Caenorhabditis elegans: one gene and its partner. The protein of the gene in region 1 purifies or fractionates together with the protein of each later gene. This does not show direct contact. Each region holds a gene or a part of one and is shown on either strand. Other genes may lie near its edges.

What was found.
Region 2: the proteins of chn-1 (region 1) and unc-45 purify together in Caenorhabditis elegans (affinity purification with western blotting, with the first as the bait; one study listed by BioGRID). This does not show direct contact.

The regions. Positions count from the first base shown.
Region 1 is NC_003279.8:6,180,808-6,185,583, forward strand, and holds chn-1 (E3 ubiquitin-protein ligase CHIP), read right to left. Parts: upstream 3,050-4,776; 5' UTR 3,040-3,049; coding exon 2,981-3,039; intron 2,935-2,980; coding exon 2,844-2,934; intron 2,791-2,843; coding exon 2,722-2,790; intron 2,674-2,721; coding exon 2,575-2,673; intron 2,528-2,574; coding exon 2,321-2,527; intron 2,100-2,320; coding exon 1,887-2,099; intron 892-1,886; coding exon 829-891; 3' UTR 507-828; downstream 1-506. Other genes in the region: putative mitochondrial import inner membrane translocase subunit tin-44, read right to left, coding at 1-33; T09B4.2 (Torsin-1B), read left to right, coding at 3,280-3,600, 3,647-3,950, 4,059-4,272, 4,338-4,428; GPI mannosyltransferase pigv-1, read left to right, coding at 4,656-4,743.
Region 2 is NC_003281.10:490,003-494,549, forward strand, and holds the start of unc-45 (UNC-45/Cro1/She4 central domain-containing protein), read left to right. Parts: upstream 1-1,544; 5' UTR 1,545-1,546; coding exon 1,547-1,635; intron 1,636-1,686; coding exon 1,687-1,814; intron 1,815-1,860; coding exon 1,861-1,987; intron 1,988-2,404; exon of another isoform or gene 2,405-2,833; intron 2,834-3,566; coding exon 3,567-3,645; intron 3,646-3,714; coding exon 3,715-3,843; intron 3,844-4,352; coding exon 4,353-4,547.

The DNA of each region.
Region 1 (4,776 bases):
TCGTATCCCGTTTCCACAAATTCGTGACAACATCTGAAGAATAATTTTTCACATTATAAGTTCAATAAAGAAGAGGCAAGAATGGAACTTGTGCGGGAAATATTCAAATAATAAATTTAATTAATTAATTTCGGTTTAATTATAATTTCTTCTGAACCATTGAAAGCTTTTCAGATCTAAACATCAAGGATTTTTAAACAGTTATTCTAAAACTCTGCAAACAAAAATAATAATGCCCGGAGAATGAAAATAACCATTTTTTGTGAACAAAAATTCTTTTTTGCATTTTATTTCAACAAATTTTCGAACAGAATTCAGCTTAAACAGCTTCGAAATTGAAAAAACGGAAAAAAATGCCGTCTAAATTTCACAACGACACTCCGCAATCCCGCACTCCCAGTGATGCAATTTTGAAAACTTCCCGATTTTATTTATTTTATTTACAAAGTCACGTAGATAGTAGGTTATAGACCTTCCTATTGGTATAAAAAAAATTGTAAAATGAAAAGAAAAGCATCACACCTCTTTATTTCATACAATATTTACAGAATCTCACTTTTAGCAGTAAAATTGAGAACTAAGCGACAAGTTGAAGTGCACTTTCTACCAGAAATTCAATGGAATTTTGAAAGAAAACTAAAGCTAAAAAATACACCAAGATACAAATACCGGTAGAACAGAAAAGGAGGGTACAGCGTTCAAACAATAAAAGTTTAAAAATCCGAAAAAAAAATGCAAAGAACTGAAACATGTAGAAAAGTGAAGAAGTTGCATTGAGAAGCAGCCAGGAATGTTTAATGTTGAATTTTTCAATATTCTGAATAGTATTTAAACCATGCCTCCGGGTTCATATTTAGCCCATGGGTTGTCGTCAAGAAACTTTTCAATAACCTGAAAATCATTAGAAATTAACTGAATTTATTACAGGGTGGGCCAAAAGTATGGTAACACATGAAGCGCTCTTTTACATGAGCTTTTCGCGTGACTGCCACGTCATACGTACATTCTTCTATCGAATACTGATAGCTGAATAAATTTCCTTCAATTTGACTCAAAATTTGTAATGTTTCCCAATAAGGTGCGATCTTTATCACCTCGACAATTTGGCGAACCCTTTCGAAAAAACGGTAATTTGGCACGCGGCACTTCCCACACAAACACACCTCCCATGCACGCCAATAATTTTCAGATGTATGATTTTTATGTTAAATTTAAAGTTAAAGAAGTGAAGAAGCGTTTTTAATTGTTTTTGTGGCATATAAAAATTTTCTGTGTCGACACTGGCGCCTAGCAAGAACCTTTGAATATTTCATGAATTCAACTTTGCGAAATTTACTCAGTTTTTTTGGTTTCGCAAGGCGTAACGTCCCACAAAATCATCCGAGCTCAATTTTCTAAAAAAATTCTGGAAAGTCAGGTCAAAACGTCTCGAAAAATACTAAAATGAATTTTTCTGCATACTGCTACTCGCCGCTCACATCCATCTTTCTGGCGACTATGCCATTCAAGACTTAACCTACTGCCGCAGTCCATGACAGAAATACCGTGATAGAAATTATTTGGATTTTTGTTTTTATAGAATCTCTAGACCAAGAGCATTCTTTGAACTATAAAAACTTGTAAGGCACTTGATGGATTCCTCGAGAAAAATGTAGAAATCCCGCAGAATGCCGACTTGCGTGCCATAAAGGTCGTGATCTCAAAAGTTCTGAAGGCCTGCAGCGATGCGGATGGGAATATTTTGAAAATTCAAAACGTTCATCTGGTCAGTATTTTATGGAGAACAAAACTTGTAACAATTGATGTAGTAACTCTTTCCACTAGTAAAGTTATAGAGCTGCAAACGTGTTACCATACTTTTGGCCCACCCTGTATAAATTTCCAACCTCTTTCAGTGCATAATTCGGAATAATTTCATTTTCGGTAAGTGGTTTTCTTGTGACTGGATCGAAATGGCCAATTCTTCTCAAATGCTGCACAATTTCTTCTCGGTCATACGTGATTCCAGATGGAACTATCACCGGCTCTTTCATCAGTTCCAGTGTAATTTTGCCGCAGAGCATCTCAGGAACCTCCCTGTTTTGCCGTTTTTCTTGTGTCTAAAAAATGATATTTTGATTCTCTTTGATCTCTCGTGATTTAGGAAATATTACACTCACGATAGTTTAGTATGCTTAATTCTGAAAGTATATTTTGAACCGGTTGAAAAAAGTTGGCAGGATTCGGAAACTCGTTTGGTTCGAATTAGAAACGCTTAGATATAAGAATTTGGGAATAGTATTACTAAAGTTTCAAAAAACTTTCAAGAAAAAGTATTTACCGCTAAAGTGAGTTCGGTTAGACGTTTTTTAGCCATATCTGCTCTTTGCAACTCCTCTGGGTTTTCAGAATTTTCTTGACGATCCTTTTCGATCAAGCTCTCCAAATACGTGTGAAATTCAACGTCTTGTACAATTCGCTTTGACTCCTCCTCCTCGTACTTTTGATGGCGTGCCCGTTTGAGGGCGTTCTCAATATCTGGAGCGTTCTGAAACCACAATTCCGTTTTAATAAACGCCGTTCAAAAATTTCTACCGTGATAACAGCATTATGGTAGAGCGCTTTGGAGAGACAGCTTATTGCTTCACTGTACTTTTTGCTCTGTAGAAATACATTTCCCAAGAAGTATAAAGGCTGAAAATGAATTGAATAACTAATTAACTTCAAGAGTTGAAAGCTTACTTTCACTTCGTTTGGGCTCAGTTCCAGTGCCCGTTTGCAGTCTTCTTCAGTCATCTTGAGGTTGTTAAGCTAGAATATATATTACAAAAGTTAAAGAAAAGTTTTAATCGAAGTATAAATACCTGAAAGTAACACATTGCTCTGTTCTGATAGTATTTCGGCAGAGGATTTACTTTGATGGCTTTCGAATAGTGATCAACGGCATCGTCATATCTGAAAGTTCAAAGACATGGGATTTATTACACATAAATGAAAATACCTTTTATTCATATAACACTTTTTGCCATTAGTATTATGTTGTTCGGCGCCGCTTGACATGCTGCAAACGCTGAAAATAAGCGGAAATTGTTCTAAAAATCGATTTTGAAAAGCATGATGCGGATAGAGTTGCGCGTAAGCTCTGACGCATTGTGTGCAAATTAAGCTTGCGGTGTTTGCGGTGTACTCGCTCCAAGCCAAAATTTGTTTTTTGCCGCAATTTTTTATATTTATGTTTTTTTTTAACAGTTTAATTTTTTTTTTTCAAATTCTGCTCCAATTTTCGTTTTAGTTCAGGGTATGGTGCAAACCAGAAAATCATATGGAACTCCATCCAATTACATACCAACATCGAATAAACGTAGGAGTCTCGATAGTTCATCAAGGCTTTATCCTGATCTAACTGAACAAATAAGTAATGCAAGAACCGAAAAGACTAGCGAGCAACAAGATGAAAATGATTTCACAGATGCGGATTTGAGTTTCAGTAGCTCACATGGATCAGAAGAATCCGATGTGTCATGTAACGAAGTGAATGAAAAATGGAAATACTGGACTGTTATTGGAATAGTTTTCATTGCGATTGTTGTGGGAGCATTGATTAAAGGAAGCAAAGTTACGGTTGGTAAAACTACACGCGGTATCGGAATAATTAACAATTTTCTAGACTAACGAATCGTATGAAAGTTACATCAAATCAGTCCGATCTGTCATCAAGAACGAGTTTCCTACAATTTCGAAAGAAAATCGGGATCTCTTAAGACTAATCGGGCAGAAAATCTATTTGGAACCAGAAAATCATGCTCCGTTGGTTGTTCTTGTTGGGGGAACACCGGCCAAACAAATTGCCGAAGCTGTGAATCGAGCTGTTCAAGATGCTAAAAGTGATGAGCATACTACGGCAGGAAAATCATCAATTAGAGTGGAAAGTGACACTGATAGAGCCGAGTTGCATGCGAATTTGCAGGAAAGTGAGTGATTTCAGAACCTCATAATATTTTATGTTTAAATAACTTTTTAACATCTCCAAAGTAATGTGAAAATTCGCTGAATTTTGAAAATATAATGCATTATTTCAGTCCTCGGACCCGCTCTTATTTCACAATCATCACCTCGAACAGCTGTGATTTTGGATGTAGACCTGCTAAAATGGGATGCAGTTCTTGTTCTTCATGCGTTCTCAGATCACGGAAAATATCCAGTTCCCAAAACAATACTTTTTCTGACTGTTTCTTCACAACAAGATTCAACGATGGACATTGCCAACACAAGTTGTGATGAGAAAATGGTCCAGTAAGTGGTTTTTGTAGATCAAAATAGTTAAGAAATTTTTTGATCTACAATTTTCGCACTTACAGATTTCTAACGAAACGCTGGATTGAGAACGGCGGCTCTTCAGACAACATTCCACCGATTATTGCACGAATTTCTTATTTTTTATGTGTTTAAAATTTTGCCGGTACATTACCTTCATTTTTCACGGGTTTTTATTTTTTAATTCTGTAATTTAATCCAAGGTTTTACAAGATCAGCTAAATAGTTCAAGGAATTCTGTGTTCATTGAATAAAAATAGTAAAAGTTTTACATGTTCGTATAAATCTCGTATATTCGCTTTAAAAATGCTGTCACTATTTTATTTTTTTATTGATCTGTTTTCTAAAATGATTAATACAGGATGCGTAGACGTGAGCCTGGGAGAGATGTTAAACGTGCAGCTGAGGAAGAATTTATCGAGTTAGAGAGACGTACGGATACGTACGAAGGTGAGAAAACGCAGGTTTTTTTAGCAAATTATA
Region 2 (4,547 bases), on another chromosome or scaffold:
GTTATAGGAAATCTTCACATGATTTGCTCACAGTGCATGCACACAAAAAGTTATAAGATCTGAAGAGAGACGCAGACAGATTATTCAAACAGCAAGGGCTCCCACCACCGGAGAGGATCTGCGGATTCCGCCGTAATTTTACACTATCCGTCGGGGGCCGGACACTACTACACTGCCCTTTCCGCTGAACAGACGTTTCTATTCGTTTTTCATCGATTTTTGCATAAAGTTCGGGTTTAGTGGGTTTAGTAAACCTAAGAATTTCTAGGTTTTTTATGAATTTTAGGTCCTTTTTTTGAATTTATATAATTTATTTTAATGTAAATACTATGAAATTTTTATTTTGATTTTTTCCGAAAAAAAAATATCAAAAATTCCAGAAATATTTCAGCCGACCCATAGCCGCCGGGTATAGCACTAGAGCCTCACGGCAGTACATATTTATTTAGAAACTCTAGTATTCCACGTGAAAAAATATATTTAAATATACCAGAAATTTTGAAGGAGTTGACGACTACAGTACTCCTTAAAGGCACACGTTTTTCTGATTTCAAGAAAATTTATCGGTTCGTGCCGTAGTTTTTGAGAAATCCGAGTGCCGTAGTTTTTGAGAAAAAATTTTCCTTGTGGTTGCCCATATAATTATTTTCATGACGAAAATCTGAAACGATGTTTTATGGGTCTGCTAAATATTTATCATACCCAACTTTGGTCTGCTAAATATTTAGCATACCCAACTTTGGTCTGCTAAATATTTAGCATACCCAACTTTGGTCTGCTAAATATTTAGCAGACCCATTTGGGATATTGAGTTTATCCTGAAATGATGATTTCCTTTGTTTAAATCCACTCAAATTCCGTTTTTTCTCTGAAATCCTCTAATCCCCTGAAAAAAACCTAAAAATATATTTTTTTTACTATATAAATTCGGATTTTTCCAGAAACCCCACATATTTTCGACTTTTCCCGAACTTTTCCCACTCGTTATCTCTATTTCTCTTCTATTCCCTAGGATATCTCTCCCGCCTGGGAGCTTTTCGAAAGCTCCAGAGCACCTGGGCGGAGCTCCCGCGGCAACTGGATTTTTTACCGTTATTCTTCATTCATTTTTCCAGGACATTAACAAATTTTCTTGCAGTGAAAATTTTTATTTCAAAAAAAAAGAAAAGAAAGTCAATTTTAGGATGTTATACATCTCCAAAATTCGTTAGTTTTAGCTTTAAAATCAAAGTTTTCATAAAAATTAAATTTGAAATCCCTCCAAAAAATAGTCTGCGCTTCACACTCTCTAACACGTGCCGGTGGAGCGCGCTTGCATTTTTCCTTTTTTGTTAATTTTTTTTTGCGGGAAACTTTTCGGGAAAATTACTCTAAAACTCAATAAAAACAGCTTTTAAGTGCATTTTTCTTGAAAATTAGTTTCAAAAATGATATTTTAATCAGTTTTACACCATTTTTGTCGATTTTTCCTCTTTTATCCGTCGAATTAATAGTATCTCCTGACAAAAATAATGATTTTATAGTTTTTTTTTTTTGGTTTTCAGCAATGGTTGCTCGAGTACAGACTGCGGAGGAGATCCGCGACGAGGGAAATGCTGCAGTTAAGGATCAGGATTATATAAAAGCTGATGAATTGTTGGTTTTTCTGAAATTTCAGTGGAAAACTGAAATTAAACTGATTTCCAGATACACTGAAGCTCTCCAACTCACCACTGACGAAGACAAGGCTCTTCGGCCGGTTTTGTACAGAAATCGAGCAATGGCTCGGCTGAAAAGAGACGATTTTGAAGGAGCACAATCGGATTGCACGAAAGGTTTACAAAAAACCTGGAAAATTTGCTGAAAAACCTAAATTTACAGCTCTGGAATTCGACGGGGCCGATGTAAAAGCTCTCTTCAGACGATCGCTGGCTCGTGAACAGCTTGGAAATGTTGGGCCAGCTTTTCAAGACGCAAAAGAGGCTCTGAGGCTCTCGCCAAATGATAAGTGCGTGGAAAAACTAGGCGAAAACCGATGAAAATTAAAAGAAAAATAATTTTTTCTGGCACTTTCCAGTTATATTTCAAAGTTTTTATGACCAAATTTCAGTGAAAAATGCAAAAGTTGCAAATTTTGGGTCTGCTAAATATTTAGCAGACCCAACCTCCCGAAACTGATTTTTAAAGCTAAAAATTATTAGAATTTTCAGACGTTTCTCTCCGAAATATAGCATGCCAATAGAAAAATTGACAAAAATCAAGGTTTTCTCATCGAAAATAGCAAAATAACTTTTAAAAATCTACAGAAACTCACAATTTTTGTTTAAAATGCCAACATTTATAAATTTTCTAAATATTTAGTTTTAAATTTGTAATTTTCTCACTTTTTTCTGTGAAAAAATATGCAAAATGAAACTGAAAAATCCACTAAAACATGTTTAAAAATTTATCTTGAAGAAAAACGTAGGAAATTTCAAATTTGCAGCTAAAAAATCAGCGAAAAAATTTTTTTTTCAAAATTTGAGGAGGTTGGGTATGCTAAATATTTAGCAGACCCAAGGAAAAATATTTAGCAGACCAAAGATAGGTATGCTAAATACTTAGCAGACCAAAGATAGGTATGCTAAATATTTAGCAGACCAAAGAAGGGTATGCTAAATATTTAGCAGACCCAAGGTGGGTATGCTAAATATTTAGCAGACCCAAGGAAAAATATTTAGCAGACCAAAGATAGGTATGCTAAATATTTAGCAGACCAAAGATGGATATGCTAAATATTTAGCAGACCAAAGATGGGTATGCTAAATAATTAGCAGACCAAAGATGGGTATGCTAAATAATTAGCAGACCCAAAGAAAAATATTTAGCAGACCAAAGTTGGGTATGCTAAATAATTAGCAGACCAAAGTTGGGTATGCTAAATATTTAGCAGACCAAAGTTGGGTATGCTAAATATTTAGCAGACCAAAGATGGGTATGCTAAATAATTAGCAGACCAAAGTTGGGTATGCTAAATATTTAGCAGACCCAAGGAAAAATATTTAGCAGACCAAAGATGGGTATGCTAAATATTTAGCAGACCCAAGGAAAAATATTTAGCAGACCAAAGATAGGTATGCTAAACATTTAGCAGACCCAAGGAAAAATATTTAGCAGACCAAAGATAGGTATGCTAAATATTTAGCAGACCAAAGATGGATATGCTAAATATTTAGCAGACCAAAGATGGGTATGCTAAATAATTAGCAGACCCAAAGAAAAATATTTAGCAGACCAAAGATAGGTATGCTAAATATTTAGCAGACCAAAGATGGATATGCTAAATATTTAGCAGACCAAAGATGGGTATGCTAAATAATTAGCAGACCAAAGTTGGGTATGCTAAATATTTAGCAGACCCAAAGAAAAATATTTAGCAGACCAAAGATAGGTATGCTAAATATTTAGCAGACCAAAGATGGGTATGCTAAATATTTAGCAGACCAAAGTTGGGTATGCTAAATATTTAGCAGACCCAAGATTTTCTCACAATTCCACTTTTAAGCACTTAAAAATTCAATAATTTCACTCAAATTTCTATTTTTCAGAGGAATTGTTGAAGTTCTTCAGCGTCTCGTAAAAGCCAACAATGATAAGATTAAGCAGACCACTTCACTGGCTAATAAGGTTGGTTTTGTGACCTGAAACCACGAATTTTAAATGAATTTTCATTGAAAAACCCCGAAATTTTCTCAGGTAACTGACATGGAAAAGCTAGCGTTCCGTGGTGAGGCGAAGGACACCGAACAGAAAATGACTGCGTTGAACAACTTGTTGGTTTTGTGCAGAGAATCTGAATCCGGAGCAACAGGAGTTTGGAATCAGGTATAGTTTTGGAAGCTGGACGAAAAATCTACATTTACTGGGAAAATTTAATGGAACTTAAAAAAAAATTTAAAAAATGGAAATAAATTGAAAAATATACCGTATATTTGAAAAAAAAATGCAAAAAAAAACTGAATTTTCTAGATTTTCAGAGCAATTTTCAGATTGTTTTTCGAAAAATTTTGCAGTTTTTATCTAAATTTTTCCGATATTCCTTAAATTTAATTGTCGAAAGTTCAATTTTAATTTTTTTAAAGAAATTTTTTTAAACTGAAAATTGTAATTTTTTGTAGATTTTTAAAATTTATTTTGCTACAACGAGAAAACCTTAATTTTTGCCAATTTTCCGATTTTGTAGAAACATTTGAAAATTCAACTTTTTAGCTTTTAAAAAATCAGTTTAAAAAAAATTATTTTTCAAAATTTTAATTTTATCAAAGTATCCCGAATTTGAATATTTTCCTGCAAAAATACCCAAAAAAAAAATTCTAATTTTTCCATATTTCCAGGGCGCACTTGTTCCATTCGTCCTGAACCTAATCAACGACGCATCGGAAAACGAGGAGGTTACCGTAACCGCAATCCGAATTCTCGACGAGACCATCAAAAATAGCGTCAGATGCATGAAATTCCTAGCTATGCACGACCCAGATGGCCCAAAATCCGTCCGTTTTGTGTGCCGGCTAATGTGCAAAAAATCCACA